4 linked regions of the Neurospora crassa OR74A genome follow. The protein of the gene in region 1 purifies or fractionates together with the protein of each later gene. This does not show direct contact. Links are inferred from orthologs where the notes say so. Each region holds a gene or a part of one and is shown on either strand. Other genes may lie near its edges. The genes, in order: NCU01674, NCU05959, NCU08973 and NCU01907.

Region 1 (5,591 bases):
GTCGAGAATGTTGATGTCTCTGCTAAGGTCAGTGGACATCTCCGATACCAGTACCTCGCCGGTAGCATCCTAAAGCACATCAACTGGGAGGACATCAACCAAGAGCAGGTTAGCCGAGATGAGGCAGCCATGGTAGCCGCAGAAGAAAGGGTGCGAGAGCGTGAGAAGAAGCGAGACGCCGTCGAGCGTGGAATTGTGGTGATAGACAAGGCGAAGGAAGCTGCAAAAAATGATCCGGGTATTATCAGGACCCGGATGAGGAAGAAGAACAAGAGGTGAACGCTGAATTCGACTCGTCGGGAGGAGGGGAGGGGGAATTGGTGAACGTTTAACTTTGGCTTTCTTGGGACCTAAGTTCCTGCTCATGTTTATGTTATGACAACGACAAGGGGGTGGCAACGCAGGGCTCATAAGAAATGAGACAGAATTCGTACGTTATCTAAATAATTGTAGGATTAGCTTCAGTTCAGTTAGCTTTCTATACCAGAGTAATCTCTGGCGGCCGATGTGGATCATCTGGGTAGGGCACACTTAGTATGATACAGCAATCAAATATTGTAGTGTGGCGTTTGCATCGCAACAGCGTCGGGTAGTCCCTCACTCAGTGATTCTTGTCCCTTGAATACCCCTCGGAAGACGTGAACTCCCAGTACAGACAGGCTGGGCATCTGACGCGGTTCCCTGAAAGGCCTGAAAGTCCCGGCCCCGCGTGTTGTATCAACGCATTAGGTTTTCCGTCCTATTCCAAATCTTCCAGGCTCTCCACACGTTCGGCATCAGTTAGCAGATACAGAGCCCTCCTATATAGTCAGACCACGCAGACCACAGCCCTTATGCCTTCTCCAGGGCGCGCGAGACGAATCTCGGCCATTTTCCCCTTGATCATCTACTCCCCCTTCTTCCCACTCCTGACAACAAAGTATCTCCCAACCTTTTGCTCAGCTGATCCCAACACATCCCAATCCTCAGCCTCATTTTTCTTCTTTTCTTTCAGCTCCTCCATCTTTCTCCGCCTCGGCCGCAGGCAATGACCAACAATATCCTCCTCCGCCAGCGCCCCTTCAAGCATCTTCAGATCAATTGTGCTGTCCGCCAGTCCCTCCGGAGACTCATCTCGGATCGAACTCAAGGGCGCCAGCTCCTTGGCTTGATCTGACGGATCCGTGGTATCCACCGACTGGATGGCCCGCACGAAGTGCAGGTGTGAGTGCAGAGCCGAGAGGAGGCGGGTGGTGGAGGCAGGGTCGGAGGCGGAGGGCGGGGGGAGGGCGGAGAGGCGGGCGAGGTGGTGCAGAGTTTGGGGGGTTATTTCGCTTTCTTCGGGTTGGGTTGACGAGGATGGTGTGGATGATGGAGGAAGAAGAGAGCGGACGGACCAGGTTGGCGTGGAGAGGATGACTGATGGGCTGATTTGTGATGGTGGAGGGAGTTTGGAGGAGCCGCCGCGGGCGGTGAATTGAGGGAAGGTTTCGGTTGTAAAAGATCGTGAGCGGGAGAAGTCACGGGTTGATGGCTGGCTGGAGTTGGAGCTGAAGCAGGCTGAGAGGGCCGAGGAGGTTGAAAGAGCTGCGCGGTGGCAGGCGCGGCAGATGGTTTTTGTTGTCATGATAGCCTTGATGGGAAGAAAATGCCTCGGTTTTCAAGGTAGTATAGCTGAAAGGGAGATGTTGACTTGCGTTGCTCTATGAGGTTTGCATATGATGTGGCTTGGAGATTATTTGATGCTTTAATGGGTGGTTTCAGGTGAGGCTCTGGTAAAATGTCGCGATATGAGAGGTTGAGATGAAAGAGGACGAGACATCCTTTGCGAGGTACCTACCTATTGGGCGTCATAGCTGAGCTTTGGTAGGTTGAAGGCTAGACCCCTGCCACCGGGCCACTTGGTCAGGCAAGCTACCAGCCCTCAGGGAACCTGCTCAGGCGTCAAGGGCTTGGCGAGCCGGCATCAGCGATCACAGCCCGCTAAAGTGATCATCCCCCCAATACTCGTGCTCCGCCCCCACTTTTTTGGATCTCGCCAAACTCGCACCAACTAAAGTTGGTGCTCACGACTGCAACGGCCACACCACCACAACGGCCACCATAGTGAGCATAGTTCAGCATCAAGATATCAGAAGCTTGTAACTCATCACAACAACCAATTGAGATAAGTAAAATACTATAAGTATAATTAGGGAAGTACATCGTATATAGGAAGCATTTTTCTGCTTAGAAAAGCCAATACATTAGAAAGATTATGTTTCTGGCCTATAAATCAAGCCCGAAATTGCACCTCTAACCCTAACCTGGCCGTTGCGCTGGTGTGGCCGTTGCAGTCGTGAGCACCAACTTTAGTTGGTGCGAGTTTGGCGAGACCCAAAAAAGTGGGGGCGGAGCACGAGTACCGGCCAACCCCCCAATCCCATGCCCGCATACCTTACCCCGGGAGACAACGAAACACCTCGGGCTCCTGCAACCACCAACACGACACCATCCCGACCAACACCTGAGCTTCTTCGAGCGCGCCCGATTCCGAACAATTGGGACACCCATCAATCGGCTTCATACAGCGGACGCGACTCCAACTTAGAACTTTGCCCATCTATATACCGTCTAATAACTTGCCCTTCATGGCTGTCGATCCGCGCGTTCTCCAACAAGAGGTTTGAAACCTGCCCCTCCTGGCACCTCCTGACACTTTCGCGACACCTTGCTGATGCCGAATGCGAACACCAGGCAGAGAAGACCCTCGCGAGCGCGTCCAAAGGCTGGGGTCTGTTCGGAAACAAGGAAGACAAGTACCAAAATGCGGCGGATCAGTACATACAAGCGGCCAACGCTTTCAGGTTGCAGAAGTCAAGTACGTCATCACAATCATCAACACCCACGATGCGCTTTCGGGCCATATGAACCTCGCGGCAAGTCCTAACGTTCTGCCCACTACCCAGACACCGAGGCCGGCAAGTGTTTCGAGGAAGCTGCCAAGATCTTCACTGAGAAGTTGAAGGAGCCCAACGATGCGGCGAATGCCATGTTGGACGCCTTCAAGGTCTATAGGAAAGATGCCCCGGATAATGCTGTGCGCTGCGTCGAGGTTGCCATCAAGCAGTATACCATGGCGGGGAACTTCCGGAGAGCTGCGTCGCACAAGGAGAACCAGGCTGAGGTCTACGAAAACGAGCTGCAGAATAAGCCAGAGGCTATCAAGGCCTATACAACTGCGGCCGAGTGGTATGAGAACGACGGTGCTGTCGCGTAAGTGATTAATGCCCACGGCTTTTGCGCCATGTTACGAGTCCAACAGGTCGTTCTAACCAGCTGTGTGTAGTCTTGCGAACAAGCTGTGGCTCAAGGTGGCCGACCTCTCTGCCCTCGCGGGCGACTTTTTCGCCGCTATAGAGAAGTTCGAGAAGGTTGCGGAGGCTTCACTCGGCAACAACCTGATGAGGTACTCGGTCAAGGAGTACTTCCTCAAGGCCGGTCTCTGCTCCTTGGCGACCAAGGATATGGTCACTGCTCAGCGTAACATCACCAAGTATGCCGAGAAGGACCCATCATTTACGGGCCAGCGCGAATACCAACTCCTGGTTGACTTGTTGGAAGCAGCCTCAAACAACAACCTCGAGATGTTCCAGGATAAGCTTGCCGCGTACGATAAGATGAGCCGGCTCGATGACTGGAAGGCGGCTGTTCTTCTCCAGATCAAGAACAACTTTGAGGAGGCAGACAACGAGTTTTCATAAACAGGGTGGAGGAACTTGTGATATACAGCCATTTATCACTTTCTGGTTTCCTTCTTTCCTTTTTCTTTTCTTTGTTATCGTACCGGCGTTTTCTGGTTGGGAGGGGGATGAACTGTCATATCATGAATACGGTCATCGACGCTTTGGTGATTTACGGAAGACCCAAACAAACCTGCTGTCTGGGGTAGAGATGGGCTTAAAGCAATAGAAACTTGTTCCTAGTGGGTACGCGTTGTTCGTACGATCCAACATGAATTGTTGTATCTCATAACCTTGATGGCTGCCCAAGCGAAACATAGGTACCTCTATAAGCATGAGATGCCATAGCTAACCCTGGAGTTACAGTTGGGAGCCGCTTCGGACTAGCGCCAGACCCTTATCAATGACAGCGGGTGGGGCGTGCGCGCCGATAAGCGACAACTTTTCGAACTTTTCTGTTCTTCATGACATCGATTTCAGCACTGCGAAGCGGCTTGCATTGTCCCACTCCAGCGCCATTCCATCACATTCACGATGGCTTCTTCTCCGTCTTTGCAGGAGAAACTGGACAAGATTCGGTCTCCGAATCTCCAGAGCCAGAAGCAGGTAAGCCAGAGTCATGATGCATCTCTCCTTTTTCCATCTTTTGTCTTCTGCATCCCTACCCTCTTCCTTCCAGCCTGCCATTGCAGTGGCCTGTCGCAAGGCCGCCTCCATCGTGGACAATGGACCCTGACTTGAGCCACAGACTGCCAGTGTCCTCGAGGCTATCGAGGCCACCTTCAAGGAGCGCAATACACCCGCGACTCCTACCGCCTACTTCGCTGCCCTTCTCAGTCTACTCAACAACGAAAACCTCGCGACCCCCGTCGTCTACCTCCTCGATGTCGTCACTCCCTTCGCTCCAAAGCCTATTCTTCAGGCCAAGTTCACTCAGATCATCACCATCCTCGCGCCAGTACTATCCCTCCCCGATGCCGATGCTCCCCTCATGAGGGCCTCGATCGGCTCTCTCGAGAGCTTGCTCCTTGCTCAAGATGCGACACAGTGGGAGCTCGGTACCGCCCAGATTGGCCCCCGCCGGGCTGTGGCCGGCCTCCTCGCCCTTGCCCTCGACCCGCGTCCCAAAGTCCGCAAGAGAGCCCAGGAAGCGCTCAGGAACATCCTGAAGAACCCTCCGCCGAGCCCGTCTCTCGACCACCCCGCCGCCCCCATGTGCGCCGAGACAGCCATGCAGAGCCTCCGTCTTGTCGCTGACAAGGCCGCCGCCCAGAGGAAGGAAAAGAAGACTACCGACTCTACCCACGATCCCGAGCTTATCCACGCCTTGCAACTCGTCAAGGCTGTCGCCTCTGGAAGCGGTGGCTGGCCCAGCAAGAGCATTGAGTCTTTGTGCGAGCTCCTTCTCAGCATTGCCCGGACGGGCAACGAGCACATGAGCATGGCTGTCTTCGAGATCTTCGAGATGATGTTCGAGGGCATGGCCGCCGACGAGGTTGCCTCCGCCAAGCTTCCTCGGCTGCTCGAGATCATCAGAGAGCTCCGTCCCGCGCCCAACGATACCCAGCTTCTCCCTCCCTGGATCGCCATTCTGTCGAGAGCCTACGATGTTGCCGGTCAGATTTCGCCCGCCGAGACCTTCCAAGAGCTGGTCGATCCTTTCACTCTGGTTGCAGGATACCTCGAGTCCCAGCACAAGAATATTCGCGTTTCGGCGTCCGAGTGCTTGGTCTCCTTCCTGGCCAACTGTGTCCCCAAGGAGGCCATCCTTGAGCCTTCGATTTTTGACGAGAAGGTCATTCAGCAACTAGTCAAGGTTGTCGAGGGCCTTCTCACCGTCCAGTACCAAGCTGCCTGGATGGAGACTTTCAACGTTCTTGGTGCCATGTT
Region 2 (5,558 bases), on another chromosome or scaffold:
CGGCGGGGACGGCGACCTGACTCGGAGTGACCGTCGACCGAGGCGGCCGTCTCGCTCATTTCGGAGTCAGAGAAGACATGGTGGTCGTCATGTTGCATCTCAGGCGTCTGGGGTTCCACCACATCGGGTTCCAGGAAGCGAACTAAGGGCTCGGGAGTGCGGCTCCGGGGAATGTACTCTGATGCTGGCCGTTGTCGCAAAACAGGTTTCTTTGGAAGGGCGGTAGTCGTGGTGGTCACGCGGCTCTTTGGTGGTGAGAGAGCCGAGAACAGAAGGGGAGGTCGTAGCTTGTGCGAAGAATGGGACGACGAGGGTCTGTTGGAGTATTCGTGACCGTGCATACTGGCGCCTGCGTGAAGAAACATGGTGGTGAGGTACCCCTAGGGCCCCGGAGGCCCTTTCCGCTTGGGGTCGACAGGATGTGTATATGGCAAGGGAGGAAATTGCTAAGTGAGGTGAGATCGTAGTAGGCAAGTGCGCAGGGGTGTGTAGAGGTATGATATGGAAGGAACTGCAGTGCCGTATGAGGAAGGGTCGAATGTGTAAGCCGTTGCCGAGTCCGTCTCAACGGAACCAGCCGCGATGGTAAGTAGGTAGGTGTTGGTGCGCCTTTGGCCGTCCCCCCTCTTATATAAACTCTCGATATTCGGAACCCGGAAGCCGAGTGAGAATGATCCCCAGCTATATCCCCCTGCTCTCAAAGCACTGCCACATGCGCAAATCCCGAAACACGGAAACACTGAATCAACTCAACGGTCAATAGTGGACTCTGGCTCTGGCGCAATCCGACGAAAGCGAAACCGTTCCTCTCCGTCTCAACTGAACACTGGAGCGCCCTGGCTGATGAGCTGGCCTTCACATCGATGAATGGTTGTATACAAAGTTGCAGGTCGAAATGCGGTTGCCTAACGAACAGTTGGCCAGTGGTGATGAGGGCGTAAGAGCTAAGAACGTGGTGAAGCAAGGGGGTGATGGAACGTTATATGAGAGGTCTACCACGGCGGTCCGGTGGCGTCGTATCGGAGAAAACAGAACAGTCGCGAAAGATGGAAGGGAAAGAAACAAAAACAGGATTCCAGATCAACAGGAGATACACCTTGGGAGACACCAGGAACGTGGAGACAGCACGGAAGAGAAGAAGACAAGGAAGGCCCTGATGATGTTTTGAATTAATTAGCTGTTCCGGATGGATAAGGTGAGGAGCTGGAGAAAAATAAGACCCTGGGCTACCGGAGCCTCTGGAGTTCTTGAGGAGCCCGAAGAGAAGCAAAGCCTCGGACGTTGTTGTGGTGTGTGGAAGGATGTCAAGAGAGAAACCAAACAAATCAAGGGGGACCTGGGCAGACTCGGAGTGGCAGGGGAGGGAGCACCAACAAAGTGGATGACCAATTGGCGTCCGACTGTCACCGTGTCTTGGCCTCACCCCTCTGACTGACGGGGTCCAAGCCGTGGCCGAGCTGCGAGGAGCTCCAAGAGGTTTGGAAACGGTGGTGTTGCTGTGCCAGTGGCCGGTCACGACACCCGCGGCGCCCAAAGAAGAAAAAAAGCGACGGCGGAAGCGCACGGCAGATCCTGCTAGATCCTGGTAAAGGTAAGCGGGCAGGGGACTGGCCAAGCCCTGAGCTAGCCTGGCCAAATTAAAAAAGATGGGGCCAATTCGGTGCCGATGGTGGATGACGGTGGACGCCGGCAACGGTGAGTCGCTGAAATCGGCCGCCGATGTGTCAAAACCGTCGGACGTTGGCGTGGGCTTTTTCCTTCGGCGGCGGCGGCGGCGGTACGTAACTCGATCCTGGTGAATGTCGCCAACACTCTCCACTAGCCAAGCGATGATGTATTCCAGCGAATCCTATGGCGTGCCGAGAGTGGATCAGCCTGACAAACCTTCGAATGAAGAACCTCGCAGCGAATTCTCGAATTGTGACCGGGGTCGCTGATTTGTCCGTTGGTGATGGATGTTTTGTGGTGGAGGTTTAGTCAGACGGGTCGGTATCGCTGGGCTGAAGCCTGGTGTTGCTGGACGACGAGCAACAGAGAGAGTGTATGAGTGCGTGTATGTGTGTAAGTAAGTGTGTGCCACGAGGCCGGACCAGATGGCCATGAGCAGTCCTGGTGTTTTGATGTCGGCGACGAAATCCGAATGTCATAGCTGACATATATATGATTTAACAGAAGGTGCAAATCTCGTGGCAATGTCGAGCAGCTACCTACTATTTGCGCCGCAAAACAACATTGCCGACCAATCCGACCCGACTGCCAGGAGAACATTTTCCCAAAGCATCGGTGGCGACAGACTACAAACCCAAAAAAGACTTGGAAAATTCAAGACACCAACCAGAAACAAAAGGCTGGCAATGTGTCCATTTTCTGGGGAAACCAGCCAAGGTTCGCGTCAAGCAGCCGTGACAGTGTCTAGGCAGTGTACACTATATTATCTTAGCATGTCTTGGGACGTGGCCGTTGACTGGACCTTCTAAGCGATATGTCCCCCAAAACAGTTCCCTTCCCTAGGTCGTCATCGGTCTCAATTCGTTGCTGGCTGGTGAAAGGTCAACTCAGTCATACAAAGAAACCAATTGAAGAGTTTCAAGACGCCAAAGTCCCCGGCAGTCCCAGGCGGGGTTGATACGTTCAACTGGACACGGTCCGTGTAAGTTACACTTTGCAAACAATACATACAGCGCTTGCGTACACGTACTGCAACAACACTGCAATACATGCGGCAACGCCAAGCATGTGTACGTCACCCGCCTAGGCTGCAACTGTAACCACTGTAACTGTATGTAACAAGCGGAATGTCATGTGCCCATGCTGGTCCGTGCCCACAGCTGCTGTCGTCTCCCGCCTGCGGCCTGCCTGCCTTTCAGTTCGCTTGTCAGGCTGCTGAGACGACCGCAACGACTAACGGGGCTCGAAGCACACTGGTGTCGCTGGCGACAGACAACATTCGACGACGACCACTACTCCTTGCGATCAGACCAACCACACGCCAGCCCAACCACATCTCGTCCAACGCGACCGCATCAACGACGCCCCTCTTTGGCATGATTAATGACGAATCTGAATAATTGAGAATAACGATACCCGCCGATAAACGAGCATCACCCCGATACGGCCAGCCCGACGACAGCACCCCCACACCTGCCCCGAACCCCAACCTCCACATCCGATAGCAACACATAACTCCATTGAATCCAAGATGGCCAACATTCTCGACAGCGAAGCCGGCACAGAGCTCTTCAAGCATTATGAGACGGAATACCAGCTGGTCCAGGCCGACCTGGTCCAGAAGCTCGACCAAATCTCGGAGCTGACGGGCGAGCCCAGGAAAGCCGCCCTCAGCACGGCCGAGCGCGCCCTGGAGGAGGCCGGCGAGCTGCTGGACCAGATGAACATGGAGAAGCAGAACGTGCCCAGCTCGTCGCGGACCGCCATCAACAAGCGACTGCGCGACTACCGAAGCGACGTGGACAAGTATCGTCGCAAGCTGCAGACGCTGGCGACGGACCGCAGCGCCCTGTTCGGCGGCAGATACACCGATAACCCGGGCTCTTCGAGTGGCGATAGGCATTTTGAGCAGAGGCAGCAGCTGCTATCTGGTGGGTGGTGGACAGAAGCACCTTATACATGGCAAGAAGAAACGGAATGCTGACTATTTCCCCCGAAACGTAAAAGGCACCGACCGGCTCGATCGGAGCACACAACGCCTCAAGGCCAGTCAGGCGCTGGCCGCCGAGACAGAGGCTATTGGCGCCAGCACCCTGGCCGACCTGCACCGCCAACGCGAAGTCATTGAGCACACCACCACGATACTATACGAGAGTGAAGGCTATGTGGACCGAAGTGTCAAGACACTAAAGGGCATGGCACGCAGGTACCACCCTCCCCTTTTGTCCCAATGCGAATCATGATGATTAGGTAATACTGACCACTTGCGCCTTTACCATTAGGATGGCTACGAATCGGATAATCACCATTGCGATCATCACCGTGCTGGTCCTCCTTATCATTGCGGTTATCGTTAGCAAGTTCAGGTGATTGTGTCGAGAGAGCTGAGCGAATCCATAAAGAAGCAATACAACATCAGGTAGAACAGGCAGGGGTGTTCAGTGACATCACGATATATACGAACAGGTGGTGGATGGTTTGGACTGTACCGATGGAGCGTTTGTTATAACAGAGACATGTTCCAGTTCCATGTTTTTCGTATCGTAGGGATGGTATCGTACGGGGGGTTGTATTTTTACACAGACGGCGTCACAAAGGGAGGTGGTTTCGAAATTTAGACGTATTTCTTTCTCATGACCATACGGCGGCCTTGCTTCCATGGACGTTCCGACATCCGACAGGGGAAAACGGCTCGCCATGTCCACCACAACTCGCCGCCACATGGGTAGCGGATCGTTCTCTATGATTTCAAATGATTCTCCTCTGAGACATAGTATCCCTGACTTTGGTCGGTGTTGACCGGGGCCTTGGTTAAAACAAATTTTCTGTTGGCCACTGTTGTTTGAATGATTTGCGTTCACCACACCTCTGCTGGGATGTGACTTGGTAGCTTGGTAGTTCTACAAGAAACAGAGAGCGAGCCTTCGACAAAGTCGCTATTTCTTGTGCCCAAATTAAGCTTCTTTGCCACCCTGAAGAACCGTGGTGTACTGTGTATATCCCAGCAAGAACTGTGTCTTGGTAACTCATGTACACTACAGGCCTATTACAAATGAGTAGACTAAGAAATTTTCCATGTGATGGAAACACGCATCACTGCAAATCACGTCAAGTCATCTTCTTCGAGATACTTTCGTTGTTGTTAACATTTGCATATAACCCCACTTTCACAGATACGCAGTACATAACGGACCCTCAGACCTTCCACAGCTCCAGTTGAACTTTAGGCGGTGAAAAAAAAGAAGTCCACCGGACTGATGTTCCGCAGCTCAAGCTGCAGCTGGATGGAGATCGCCGGTCTCTCCCCGGCAGCCTTCCACTCGTCTCCATTTTCACCTGCAATTCTTCACTTCAAGATGGAGTCACAAGACAGAAACACCAAAACCGCTTACGGAGCGGACTTGACTTTTGGCGAGGGGAGTTCCTTAGGTATGTAGGTATGGAGTCGTCGTCGTCGGGTCCCATGGAAGCCAGCCGAGGGCACCGACGGAGAAAAGCCTCGCTCCACTGTGGATTCTCTCTCTCTCTTTCTCTCTCTCTCTTCCACTGTAGCGGGACTGACTGCAGTGCAGTGGGCCAGCTGAAAGTCTGAAGGGATGGAACATCCGGGATGGATGGAAAACGAGGGACAGGTTGCACAAATTGCACAATTTTCACAAAGTACACAAAAAAAAGTCGGAGGACACAAAATTCTCGGATTCGGATTCGGATTCGGATCGATGCGGGTTCGGATCGATGCGGATTCGGATCGCCGACATGAAATTTCTCATACGTATCAACGTGGTGGCAGTCTTCACCAGTCACGTTGACTTCAAGTTGAGAACTGAAGCAGACAGAAAAACCCCGCCCGGCCGGCCGTGAGTCGGAAACGGAGTCAAGAAGGACCCCGA
Region 3 (5,697 bases), on another chromosome or scaffold:
GTGGGCGAGGCTCGAGAAGCTGACCAGGGGGGACGAGGTCGCGTCGGGAAGGTCGACTTCGTCAATCAACGGAGCAGACGAGTGCGAGCCAAGCGAGCCAAGAGCGAACGATGGTTCCTGTCCAGGTTACGCCCGACTGCCCGGCAAGACGTTGCACCCTGGACTTGCCTTTAAAGCCAATGGGATTGGCTCGGCCCTGGTCTGCAGCAGCGGGTCCACCCACCCACTGCACTGCGAACCCACTGCAGAGAGTCTAGTGTCCACTGCGCTTCGTCGCCGTCCCAACGTCCCCCAGCATCCCGCCCGTTCCTCTTCCATCTCACAAGCGAACGGCACCGCGACGGCAGAGTGAGATCGCTGGGGAAACGAATGGCGAAGAGCCACAGCTCACTGGGCTTGTCCTAATCGGTGCAAAAAGCGGTGGAGCACCACAGGCATCGCCGGCGTCCAAATCTGGTGTAGTGTAGGTGGAAGGAGGAACCGACGCATGTGCCGGCCACTTCACGAACCCCCCCTGTCTCTTTCCTAGGCTTGTCTACACGACACTACACTACATAGTACACTACACTACGGCTTGGTTTTCCTCTTTGAGCCATCTCCTCGTCATTACATACACTACGACTACGGGTCTTGATGGTTGTTGTTCCATCAAGGTCAACTTTTGGTAGGAAGACTTCTAGCTTCACCAGTCTGACGATCTCTCGGCCAGAAGTTCATGTCCAGCTTTACATTATTGGTGATGTACAGACGCGTGGGCAAGGCGGTTCGATGGTCATATGTGTGTAGTTACATTTGTGCGACCATGAATGATATGTACCCGAAAGGCTTCGAGATCCGACACGAGGTGGAAATCCGCGCGGTGTAATATCCGGACCTGGTGGAGAGGATCGATGACTTTGTTCTCGAAAAGGTCATTCAAGGCATCGATCCCATCCGTCTGACTCGAAGGAGTTTTGCTCCATAGTATTTTATACTGGGTAGTCGTGGAATCATATACTATGTGCCTCATAGGGGTAATACTCGTTGAGAGGTCCGCGATCCCTTCCAGACTCGGAGCAGAGTGCATGTCAAACATATTCGCTTCGCGGGTGAACACTGTACACCAAAGACCCTTTTTTCGCTTCAGGAAACCTCGTTAGAAGCATGGGCCGGCGTTCCGCTTGTTCTGTTTGTGCTTTCTAATCACCTTCCACATCATCAGTCCGTCCCCTTGGAAACTTTTGTTCAATGTTCCAGGAAGATGTTCTTGACAAGTGCGATTGTAGGGATCTGAGTAGTCGTCTTAGTCGTCATTGCACATGTCAATCATGGTTGAACAAAAAGCAAATGAAAGGACACGGAGATGCAACAAGAGCCCGTGTTAGGACAAGGTCTTCCTATAGTAGCATTGGCACTAACATGTGCTAGCGGGGCGGTGTTTGGCCGACGCCCGCCTGACGGTGCTGTTCCAGCCCAGAGGGCATGGGTCTCGATGGCCTGGCCCAACAAGAAGCGGACGGCTGTGGTTGGCTTCGACACATCGCCATTCAGCCTCGAACAACAGCTTGATTCCATCGATACCTCATCGCATCGCCATTGCCGCCATCGATCGCGCGTCGTCTATCAAACCCCTCCCCCTAATCCATCGACAATCGTCGAGCCCGAACCACGACCGACACAGCGACGCGCTTCCTTGACCAAACCATCGCAACTTACAATCCATTAACCTAATCTAACGACGAACCCTACGATTCGGCAATTCCAGACCTCATTGCTCCCCACGCCATCACATCGGCTCTCTCTATCCCAACGCGAGACATCAACATCATCGTGTACAGTCAGGAACCATCAACAGCGATACTCGCCTGATTTGCGCCAAAGCTCTGAAACACGACCACAACAAAACCTCGGGGACGTTTCAAATACCGCTACCATGAAGCTCTACTACATTGGTGTAAGATACGGCTGCTTTCATAGGGGGTACAAGAAGGTACCTGCTGACCGCGAACAAGATCTACAAAAACACCGAGCAGCCTGCGGTGCAGCTCTGCGGTGCCCACGAGCTTAGCGACTTCTCCAGGTTCACACGAGACCAATACAAGAACTTCATGACCATGATCAGCAGGACTGTCGCAGAGAGGACGAAGCCTGGCCAGAGGCAAAGTGTTGAGGAGCAAGGTGCGTCTATGGTGAACTCTCTGCTCGCATACATGTGCCTAGCTGACTAGGTGGTGTCCGAACAGATTATATTATCCACGCCTATGCCCGCTCCGAGGGTGTTTGCGGTGTCGTCATCACCAAGGACTACCCTCCTATCGCCGCCCACAGTGTCCTTTCCAAGCTCATGGACCAGTTTCTCTCGGAGAAGCCGGTTGCCACGATAAACGCCGCCAAGAACGACGGCGACATCCCTTTCCCGGCCATCGAGCAGTACCTTCGCGACTACCAAGATGCCAACAACGCGAGCAGCATTGCAAAGATCCAGCAAGAGCTCGACGAGACCAAGATCGTCCTACACAAGGCAATTGATAGCGTATGTCCATTCACAGAGGGTAGCAATGCTCTATATAACATGCTAACCTAGTTTTAGGTTTTGCAACGAGGCGAGAAGCTCGACGACCTGGTTGCCAAGAGTTCCGACCTGAGTGCGCAGAGCAAGATGTTCTACCAGAGTGCGAAGAAGCAGAACTCGTGCTGCCTGGTTATGTAAAGATCGTTCATCAATACCAACCAACCACGCGCGACTGTCTTCGCTTTTAGTCAGCCGCACTGATATATGCCATCGACCGCAACGTTCCCCCTACCCAAATACAAAGAGCGACTGACCCCTCGTTGTCTTCGAGGCACTGGTGGGGGTCTCTTCTAATTCAGCTTTTGGTTTCCGCGCAGGTTGCAGTTTGGCTACTGACGACAGAGGGCCTTACAGTAGCCGCTTTGGATATGTGAAAGCCACTTACCTTGACGGCTTCGTGGGCTCTGAGAATGCTAAACTTCTAATTCAACCTGCAATATACCCTTTCTCATATTCATTGTTGTGTGGTACATACCCGAAACTGTGAAAGATTGACCACTGTTTGGCGCTAAAGCTGTGAAATACATACTTCGACTACCAGATGTAGGTAGTCCTGTTATAGATTTGTTATGTGTCGAACCCGAGGCTGCGCACTTATCTGAGAGATCTTCGCTCCGTTTCTTGCATACCCGTTAGTTTCATACGACATCCGCCCTCAAAGATTATGTGATGGGCCGACACAAGCGAAGCGGTCGGGTTCCCCAGTCACGACATTCGGTTGCAGTGATGACGACCTTGTCCGCCACGCCGTAGTGGCGTAAACTGTGCGAGTCGTAACTAATGTACACTATGGTATATTCTAGGGGTTGTTATCCCTCTCAAGCTAGCCCAGCCAAAAAGACTCTTTTGAAGATATGAATGGAAACGTTGAGATTCAAACTACAAGACTACGCAGCAGCATCAATTGAGCTGATCGATGATGGCGGCATTGCGTACGGATCTTCCTCCATGCCGATCTTATATCGGCTCCGTCGGCGTCTACTCATGTGCACTACAGACGTTGGATGCAAGCTGGGGTTCGAACAACATCATAGGAAACTGAGACTGTAAATGTGCGGGGTGGCAGAGGCGCTCCTACCTGATGTCGCGCCTTTGCTTCAAATGAATGGGGATTCGGCTTACGGCAAAGATCATATTAGAATTCATGGGATCATCATTGGGGGTCTTTGTAGGTGACTGACATGTCGAGAACATCTATAGTCAAGGTAGAGAATATGTCACAAGTGAGAACTGCTACATATACGGCGTAAAACTCATTGTATTGGGCTGGGCTTTATTTGACACCAATCGAACCCTAAACAAACCCATTGCCGGGACCCAGTTGACTGGGCAGAGATAGGAACATGCATATGTACACTACACACCTGCTCCCGAGACATTTTACACCGTCGTTCATTTTCCAAAGATGTTGGGGAAAAGATAAATCAGGTGCATACATCATACGCACATACGTACATATAACAGGCAGTGTTATCATGGCCTTTTTTCCGCGGAACTGACATTCGTTTTCATGCATGGTGCCATAAATTGGAAGCAACTCTAAAAGGCCATGCGTTTAGGACTGAATTTAATGAAACCCGAGTCCAGTTCTGACAGCTGCATACTGCAGGACTGCACAGGTTTAGAGAGTGCCCTTACTAGGCGTTGAAGCCCCAAAACAAAGAAGGATTCGAATGAAAACATTGTGATTCAGGATAAATAGATATTCGTTCGTTTTCGTGGTGTTTCGGTCGAGTTTGGTATTTGTTCTGGGTTCATCAATCCTGTCCTGGGCAAGGTCAACGAAGTGAGGCTCAACGACATGTGCCGTCTTGCCAGAAACGCAAACAGGTTCACAGTTGTGTTCAGAACACCAGGAACTGGTCCCACAAGTTTATAGTAGAAGGCCAAGGGTGTTTTGGGGGGAATAAAAGGACCGGGCTCACCGCCCGTCCTCCCGTCCGAGGATCCATGAAAGTGTCGTACGAGATCTTGATTGTCACCCTTCTGCCAGGTATTCCCCGGAAGAGTGGAAGGCAATTGATGCAGTCAGTCAGTCAGCTCAATTCTGGTTGGACGGCACCTTCCTCCTCCAAGAACAAGCCATCCCGAACGTCAAAAGTGACAAGGGATGGACAGACAGAGCAGGCCAAGCACAAACGGCTACGGCAACCGCTAGGCTTTTTTTTTTTCCCCTTCATTTTTTGTTTCCAAGTGAGAGGGGGAGAATGAAATGTCTCATCTCACTTCGCTTTCTCATCACTCCCGCCGTTGCAGTGCATTAGTTCCTTGGTTTTACGGAGGGGTAGAGGGGCAGGAGGTGAGTGTTGTGGTGTTCTCTCTTTTTTTTCTTTCTTTTTTTTCTTAGCTTCCAGGTGGTACGGTCGACACTGAGGAGGGGATGAGGAGGGGAAGAGGCTCTGGCATGATGAGATGGAAGTGGGTGTCCTTTTCGAGAGGGAGGGAGAGGTTGTGTGTGTGGCCAGCTAGCCTCCCACGGCCTGATCTACCAAGTGGTGCCAAAACACAGTACTATGTACATGCACGACCACTGCTTTCGTGGTGAGCCCGTCTGTCTTCTTTGTGTTTAGCACCACCTTCGGTGAGGATAAGCATTCACCCACCAATTACCACTCAAAGCCGTACTATGTACACTAGGGTGCATAATTGCTGATGTGGGCTGGTGAAGATGCACAGAATCGGGACTGTAGGAAATGCTCGTAACGATACCATACATCACTACATCTCTTCCATGTCGTTTCCACGTTACGACATGCCGCGTTTCCATGCGACAAAGAAGAAAGAGTTAGGAGAAACGAGAATGCAAAAAGTCGAAAACTCAATGACAAGACATGATGAACATGGCAGAGGTGCATTTGCATCAAGCGTTGAACATCAAAAGCATGCTTTGGCAAGCCATGGCACATGTACATAAGCGGGGTTCTTTGTGCCTCACGACCTGATTCGTCAACCTCACCTGAAGGTTATCGCGACGAGCTGATTAGCTCGACTTGGATTCTGTTTGGAAATGTCTCGCATTTATTCCCTGCCCAAGAGAGAATCCAATAGGGGCATGGTAATTAGGGGCATTAGACTGGTCCGTGCATACTCCACTTTCCTTAAGCCGAAAGTACCGACTGTATCTTCGTAATTATCATATATACAAA
Region 4 (6,146 bases), on another chromosome or scaffold:
CTTTTCTAGCCCCTCCTCCGCACGGCTCGTGTACGTCGCCCATAGCTTAGTTACGACAAACACATCCTCGCGCTTGACGATACCCTGATCAAACGCCTCTTTCAGGCCGGCACCGACATGCTCCTCGTTGCCGTAGCAGTAAGCCGTGTCGATGAGGCGGTATCCAGATTTGAGGGCAGCGACGACGGCGTCTTTTACCTGGGTGGATTCGCCTTGCCAGGTGCCTATTGAAGGAGGGGGAGGGGATGGGTTAGCTGCGTGCGAGGGGTGGAAGGGGGGTGTTGTGTGTTTAAGAGGGGAAGGGGACCTGAACTGGTGACAATGGAGAACAAACGGGAAACTCACCAAGTCCCAGCGCGGGAATGTTAGCTCCGGTGTTGAGCTTGAAGGTTTTGGTGGCCATGATGGTTTTTTGATGGTGGTGCTGGTGGTGAGGTATCTGGTTTTGTTTCCAACTACGAAAGATTCTGATGTTGCTGCTGTTGGCAAGCTTCAAAGAAGGAGTATGGGGAGTGAACAAGACAAGAAACGGCTGATTTTACACGGAGAATCCAGCTTTTGGGGTCGACTAGAAGCTATGATATCAAGATTGAGAGTGGAAAGGAAAGACAGAGGAGGATTGACCAGTTATATCAAGTTACGTTCGAGGAGAAGGTTGTCCAGGGTTTGAGCCACACTGGACATTCGGCTAAATGGCAATCGGCGTTAGAGCGTGGGGGATAGTTATGGTGTTATCGATTCCGAGAAAGCTACATGTTTGTAATGATTCTTTTTCTTCATGTTGTCTGTACCTGACTAGGTAATCATGAGACCTGAAATTCCGACTGTAATTATTCATGGACAGCGTGGATGGAAGTAACAACGGAACATCGACACGCCATTGTGTAACTCGAACATCGTGAACTTGGGTTTGAGGCGTCCAGAAATACGGCACTCGGGGCTTCTGTCTTTTCGTGTTTAGTCAGTACTCGATGGCATTCGGCGTTTCGTTAAGATATCAGACAGTACTTCGAAGGTGGGATATCGACAACCTCGCCAAAGATAGCCCCAGCAACAAACATCCGGTCAATGGAACGGATGGCATCCTCTCACCTTACCCCGCGAAACTTGGCTGAATCTAACAAGGGCCTCGGCGGAACGATTGCCCCTCTGTCGGAATGAGACCTTGCTGTGGTGTCGGTCCGCTCTACTATAGATAGTGGTAACAGTGAGTGGCCGAGTGGATCCGTCGTGTTCGCTTGCTCTGGGTTTCTTTCTGGGGCTCGAGCGGAGAGCATTAGTTCCAGGTACCGAAGCTGAGTGGAACTGAAATGATTACAGTTGCAGGAACTGGGGGCGTGGAGTGCTTAGTCTAAACCTGTTCCTCTATTGGTGGCATTTAGCGTAAGCGAATTCCGTCGGTTAAGTATTTGTTGACCTTAGATGAACCGAGAGCGAACTTTGAGTCTTGATCCCTATGCTGAAGCCAACTTCCTCGGCAAGTAGGTATAAATAATCAAATGCCCCCACCGACCATCCAGAGGTATACCTGAGCTCTATCAGCCTTGCAAGAGGTTATGTTGTGGAACAGTGAAAGGACATGGAAGAGCGCATGCAAAAAAAGAACCGCATCTTCATGAGGAAGAGAAATTGTATAATTAATGCATAAAGTCTACAAGAGACGCCTCTGCATGCATTATAAAGAAGAAGTATAATATTACTGAAACGCCGCCACAACTGCCGTCTACCCGGCAATTAATACCCAGAGAAGGAAGAAAATCATCTACAAAGTCGCACAGCGTTAGAGTTTTATGCAGGGCATAGGTAACAGAGCAGGAATACTGGGCTTACCAAAACACCAAACATCTTGGCTAAGAGCCATCTATTACTTGAAACACGGCTCCAATATTTGAGCAGTTCTTTTTGCGCGCCTTCGACGTTCTCTACCACGTCCTCTCTGCATGGTGTGTTAGTACAGTGCTGGTGTGTCGAGCGTCTCGAGACAAACCTACGTGTTGGCATCAATTCTTTGTATCATCTCAGATTGTTCGCTGACCATGGCCGCGAGCTGCCCAAAAATGGAACCCAGCTCATTGATAGTCGACTCGATGGCCTCGATCGCTTGCCCTCGTTGTTGGACGTAGGTGTTTTGGCCTTCCTCCAACATCTGGAGCTGCATCTGCTGATCTCCCATCGGGTTCAGCGAGATCAGATCTTGCTGCCCTGGTGCTGGCGTTCCCCTACTAGGCGTGCCGTACAGAGGTGACGCAGATTGTTGCAAGGAAGCATGTGCGTGCTGACCTACTGACGAGACAAAGTTCTCGGTCCTCGACCGCGACGCCTGAATGTTCTTGGTTCTGATTTCGAGCACGTCCTTGAAATTAGCACCAACATCTCCCAGCTTGCCCTGTAGGAGCAGGAGAATGTTTTTGTTGTTCTCCCCTTCTTGGTCGGGCTTCGGGTGCAGACGTCTAGAGAGATCTTGCAGGTTCCTGATCTTCTCGTTCAACGAAGACAGGTCTTGCTTGATGACAAAGGTCAACTAACATAATGGTTAGCCAGCCAGTTATGGAGTCGAGGCGCGCAAAGATCAAGCGCATGACCCAGCTTACCTCGTTGATTTCGACCGGCCTGTCATCGAAAAGAGTCTTCTTCTTGGCCAGCTGTGCTAGCTTTTCCAGCTTGGCCATTGTCGCAGAGATACCCCTTCCAATCTCTGCAGCCCCCCTCGCAAACTCAGACCTTCTGGGCTGGGCATCGCTGCTGGCAGCATGTTGTTGAGCGGTGTCCAGAAGTCGCTGCTTTCCTGGCTTTGTGGCCTGCCTACGCTGGGCAGCCGCAACAATCTGTCGGAACTCTTCCGTTCGGTCGTTGATGGCAAAGACAGCCATAATTAGAGGTGTATCGGTATATGCTGAGGCGGTAGTCCGTCCGTTTCCAACAGCTAATCGCGGGGAATGGGTCGTAGAGGGGCGCGTGTACCCCTGAGCAACCGGCACGCGGTTAAGTCGTAATCAATAACACGTCGGAGTTCGTAAGTCAGGAATCGAGACGTCGTCAACTTTGTCAATCGTGACCGGGGGCGAATGCGACTCGTAGGCTGCGAGTTTGCGGAGGAGATTATGGATTGGCAAAGTGGAAATGGGCGGATCCGGGGGATGCGGCGGGAGCGAGGCTAATTCGCGACTGGCGAGGAGGTCGGCGGCTGGTCGTGGGTGTGTTGATTGAAGGTCGTATTTATGAAAGGCGCTACACGATGGACTCGCGATGACGTATGAATGAGTGGCGGTGTTATAAGTTCGTCGTCGTGGTCGTGGTCGTCGCCGTCGTCGAGTCAAATGGTTGGTGTCGTGGTCGTCGAGGTTGAACAAGCTCCTCCGTTGTTGTCATCAGCGACGGGAGTTCGATAAAGGGAAAACGTGGTTACTTTACTTACATAGTTTCAGGAGGGCCCGTGACGCTGCAGTGTGTGGCTCGGCCCCTGCAGTTGAGTAAGAAAAGCTCACAGTGCAAAAATCCAAAGCTGACTGACCAAGACACTGTTGTTAAGCATTCAGTTAAGCTAGACTCGCTAGTAGTACATTTGATTGGACATCAGCCCAGTCTTTTTAAAGAATCAACTTCCCGATCAACCTTGAAGTCGATAACACCTCGGCACTGCAACTCAATGTTCTTTCACATTGTATTTTTTTGCCACTCTTTGGAATAGTATGGTTGCCCCCACACTCAGACCCAAAAGCCCAAGAATGGGAGATGAATTTCTGGTTATCCGAGCCAAAGGTGTGAGATGTGACTAGAGGTATGTCATTTTTACATGATGGGGTCACGTCTGTCAGAATGGGAAGACGCTTCGTTGAATGCCCCTGGCCTCTGGGTTACTGCGTTTCTGACCCACTGCGGCCCATGGATTTGGGGTACTACCTCTAGTACATGAATGAACGTCAGGCCGGGCGCTTGGAGCTGAGCGGTACCAGAAACTCAAGGCCTGTCACTGCAGCGCCAGCAAGGGTGGAACGCCATTAGCATCGATCGAGGCGCAACCAAAGTAGGTAGCTAAGAATTACCTCTAAGTAGATACTCTAAAAACGGATGAAATCCGGGGTATCATTTCTAGAGCCATTGTGACTGCCTTTGAACTAGGGCTTCACAAAACCAAACAACTTGCAGCACTTCTAATTCTCATTCAAATGGGATTTTCCCCCCTTTCCTGGCGAGTTATGTGGTTTGCTGAGGCCTGAATGCCCCGTAGAAGCGTCGCCGTGAAGGCCTCTCTCTCCAGATACCTATACTTGACTAAAGAATTGAATGCAAATTATCAGTACTTTCCCCTTGTGTAGTGAGTTCGTAAACCTAAAAGAAGCTTCCCTTCGGCTTCACCTCACCTACCTCTACCCAAGAGGTCTACGAATACCTTACATATTCCGAAAATGTAGAGCCACAGGTTTCTCTAACTGCATCCGCGGCCGAGTGCGGTGGCATTCAGTTAGTGCCTTACAGAGTGGAGAGTCTAATAGCCTGTCTCATTAAAGCTCGCCCCACGTCCGCCTGACGTTCCAATGCTGCCCTGGGCTGCTGATCCCTGCCGCGGTCCCGGACCATAATCTTCAACAACGAGAGGAAAGAGCAGGGAGCATGAATGGATGCAGTGTCATCTGGTCAACTGCCAGCGCAAGTCCAACATTTCAGTTTCACGTCCCAATGTCCGTCTTCGCGATTTCAGTCTCCCTTCTAATCCTTCCTCCATCCTCGTATCCAACCGTTTCCCGCCCTCGAACTTTCTTTGGCGACTCTTCCGTCACACATTTACGCATCCATTTTCCCTTCTGGTTACCAGTATATTGCGCTACTTTCAACTAATTAATCGGCCCGCCAACCGACCAGACATTCACTACCACCAACCTAATCTTCGCCATTTGCCTTGCCTTTTTCTCCGCGTTCCTTCAGTCATACTTTCACATCGGACAGGCCGTAGACACCTTCGACGCCACGGATACACATCTTCGGAATTGCTTATCGGATACTCAGAATCTGGCCCGCAATACATTACGGGATACTCCAGGCTGCAGAAGGCTACCCTTACTTGAGAATTGTCTGACATCCGATTTCGGTTCTATTTCCTTCATTCGACTCGACAGCGCTACTCTGTCGCCTGCTTGTACATATCGGCGCATGCCACAACGACGCTCATCGCCATAAACACTAACGGTCAATGCAATGGACGGGACATACGGGAATATCTACCCGACAAACAACAACCCACTGTCAGTTGCCCTGCTTCTAGCCTCCCCCTTTCCGTAATGCCCGAGCAGGTCGCTTCTCAGCCCGCAGTCGCTAAAGGCCGTCCGACACCACACACAGAAACCCCCGCGCTCCGGATTCGAACAACAAATACCAAATCAACGTCAACCGCTCAAAGACGCGAAAATGGGCCAACTTCAAGCCACAGAACTACGACGGCGATGATTGGGGAAGCGAGGAATATGACGATGTTGACTCGGAACGTCCACCAGCCCCTCCGCAGCCCGCCAAGCAGTACCAGCCATATACACCAGCATTGCATCTACAAACTCAGCAAACGCCAGCTGCTCCCTCGGGCCGTATCGCTCAGATGGTAGCGGCCTCTTCCACGCCGACGACACCGAATGCCCTGGAACGAACAGGCACCTTTGGACAGCCTCAACCCGATGCGCCACGGACTAGTTCACCCGTTGTTGGAGGTAAACAGGTTCTTCCGTCTATGATGCGCGTAGCTACGATGCCCCAGAATGTTGGCCCGCCGGCCTCTACGCAATTCCCCCCTCGCAAGAGCAGTATGGGTCCTCGCGACATCCCAAACATGACTGACCCGACCCGCCAACCCAGGTCTACCACTTGGGCCGTCCCAACGCAAAGACCGTGGTCAGACGCTCGATCAGCTTCCCCCAACTTCAGCTCTCCGGTATCGTCCAACAAGCCGCTGCCCCTCCCCCGACCTACTGATGTATATCGACGGATGGGAGACGACAATAGCGCGGAGCTGCAATCTTCGAGACGAGGAAAACAGGGAGAGCCGGATAACGTGGCTCCCACTGCGGGCGTAAACCCGGGACTCAGTCGTCAGGAGCGTCGAGGTAGTGCAGCGGGGAATGAAGGTGGTGATAATTCGTGGGGTCGGAGGCCGAGTCTAG

The links.
Region 2: the proteins of NCU01674 (region 1) and NCU05959 purify together in Saccharomyces cerevisiae (affinity purification with western blotting; 5 studies listed by BioGRID, with this or other methods). This does not show direct contact. The link is inferred for Neurospora crassa OR74A from reciprocal best matches to the Saccharomyces cerevisiae genes SEC17 and VTI1.
Region 3: the proteins of NCU01674 (region 1) and NCU08973 purify together in Saccharomyces cerevisiae (affinity purification with western blotting; 5 studies listed by BioGRID, with this or other methods). This does not show direct contact. The link is inferred for Neurospora crassa OR74A from reciprocal best matches to the Saccharomyces cerevisiae genes SEC17 and YKT6.
Region 4: the proteins of NCU01674 (region 1) and NCU01907 purify together in Saccharomyces cerevisiae (affinity purification with western blotting; 6 studies listed by BioGRID, with this or other methods). This does not show direct contact. The link is inferred for Neurospora crassa OR74A from reciprocal best matches to the Saccharomyces cerevisiae genes SEC17 and SED5.

The regions. Positions count from the first base shown.
Region 1 is NC_026502.1:2,740,979-2,746,569, reverse strand, and holds NCU01674 (alpha-soluble NSF attachment protein), read left to right. Parts: upstream 1-2,234; 5' UTR 2,235-2,609; coding exon 2,610-2,642; intron 2,643-2,715; coding exon 2,716-2,839; intron 2,840-2,927; coding exon 2,928-3,234; intron 3,235-3,307; coding exon 3,308-3,722; 3' UTR 3,723-4,054; downstream 4,055-5,591. Other genes in the region: NCU01672 (DUF726 domain-containing protein), read left to right, coding at 1-279; NCU01673 (hypothetical protein), read right to left, coding at 887-1,606; NCU01675 (90S preribosome component RRP12), read left to right, coding at 4,236-4,307, 4,450-5,591. UniProt on the Saccharomyces cerevisiae protein: SNARE complex protein that binds to cis-SNARE complexes on membranes and is required for vesicular transport between the endoplasmic reticulum and the Golgi apparatus and for homotypic vacuole fusion.
Region 2 is NC_026506.1:3,310,827-3,316,384, reverse strand, and holds NCU05959 (vesicle transport V-SNARE protein VTI1), read left to right. Parts: upstream 1-2,882; 5' UTR 2,883-3,199; coding exon 3,200-3,599; intron 3,600-3,675; coding exon 3,676-3,874; intron 3,875-3,950; coding exon 3,951-4,038; 3' UTR 4,039-4,448; downstream 4,449-5,558. Other genes in the region: NCU05958 (hypothetical protein), read right to left, coding at 1-365. UniProt on the Saccharomyces cerevisiae protein: t-SNARE found in various SNARE complexes involved in multiple transport pathways. The composition of the t-SNARE complexes is specific for a limited number of v-SNAREs and therefore allows only the vesicles carrying the matching v-SNARE to fuse.
Region 3 is NC_026503.1:4,095,457-4,101,153, reverse strand, and holds NCU08973 (SNARE protein Ykt6), read left to right. Parts: upstream 1-1,470; 5' UTR 1,471-1,912; coding exon 1,913-1,933; intron 1,934-1,991; coding exon 1,992-2,157; intron 2,158-2,222; coding exon 2,223-2,512; intron 2,513-2,569; coding exon 2,570-2,689; 3' UTR 2,690-3,144; downstream 3,145-5,697. Other genes in the region: NCU16686 (hypothetical protein), read left to right, coding at 1-352.
Region 4 is NC_026501.1:2,072,374-2,078,519, reverse strand, and holds NCU01907 (syntaxin 5), read right to left. Parts: upstream 3,402-6,146; 5' UTR 2,871-3,401; coding exon 2,592-2,870; intron 2,522-2,591; coding exon 1,992-2,521; intron 1,937-1,991; coding exon 1,831-1,936; intron 1,763-1,830; coding exon 1,724-1,762; 3' UTR 1,093-1,723; intron 948-1,092; 3' UTR 685-947; downstream 1-684. Other genes in the region: NCU01906 (GCY protein), read right to left, coding at 1-224, 346-403; NCU01908 (hypothetical protein), read left to right, coding at 5,194-5,240, 5,338-6,146. UniProt on the Saccharomyces cerevisiae protein: Required for vesicular transport between the endoplasmic reticulum and the Golgi complex. Acts as a target organelle soluble NSF attachment protein receptor (t-SNARE).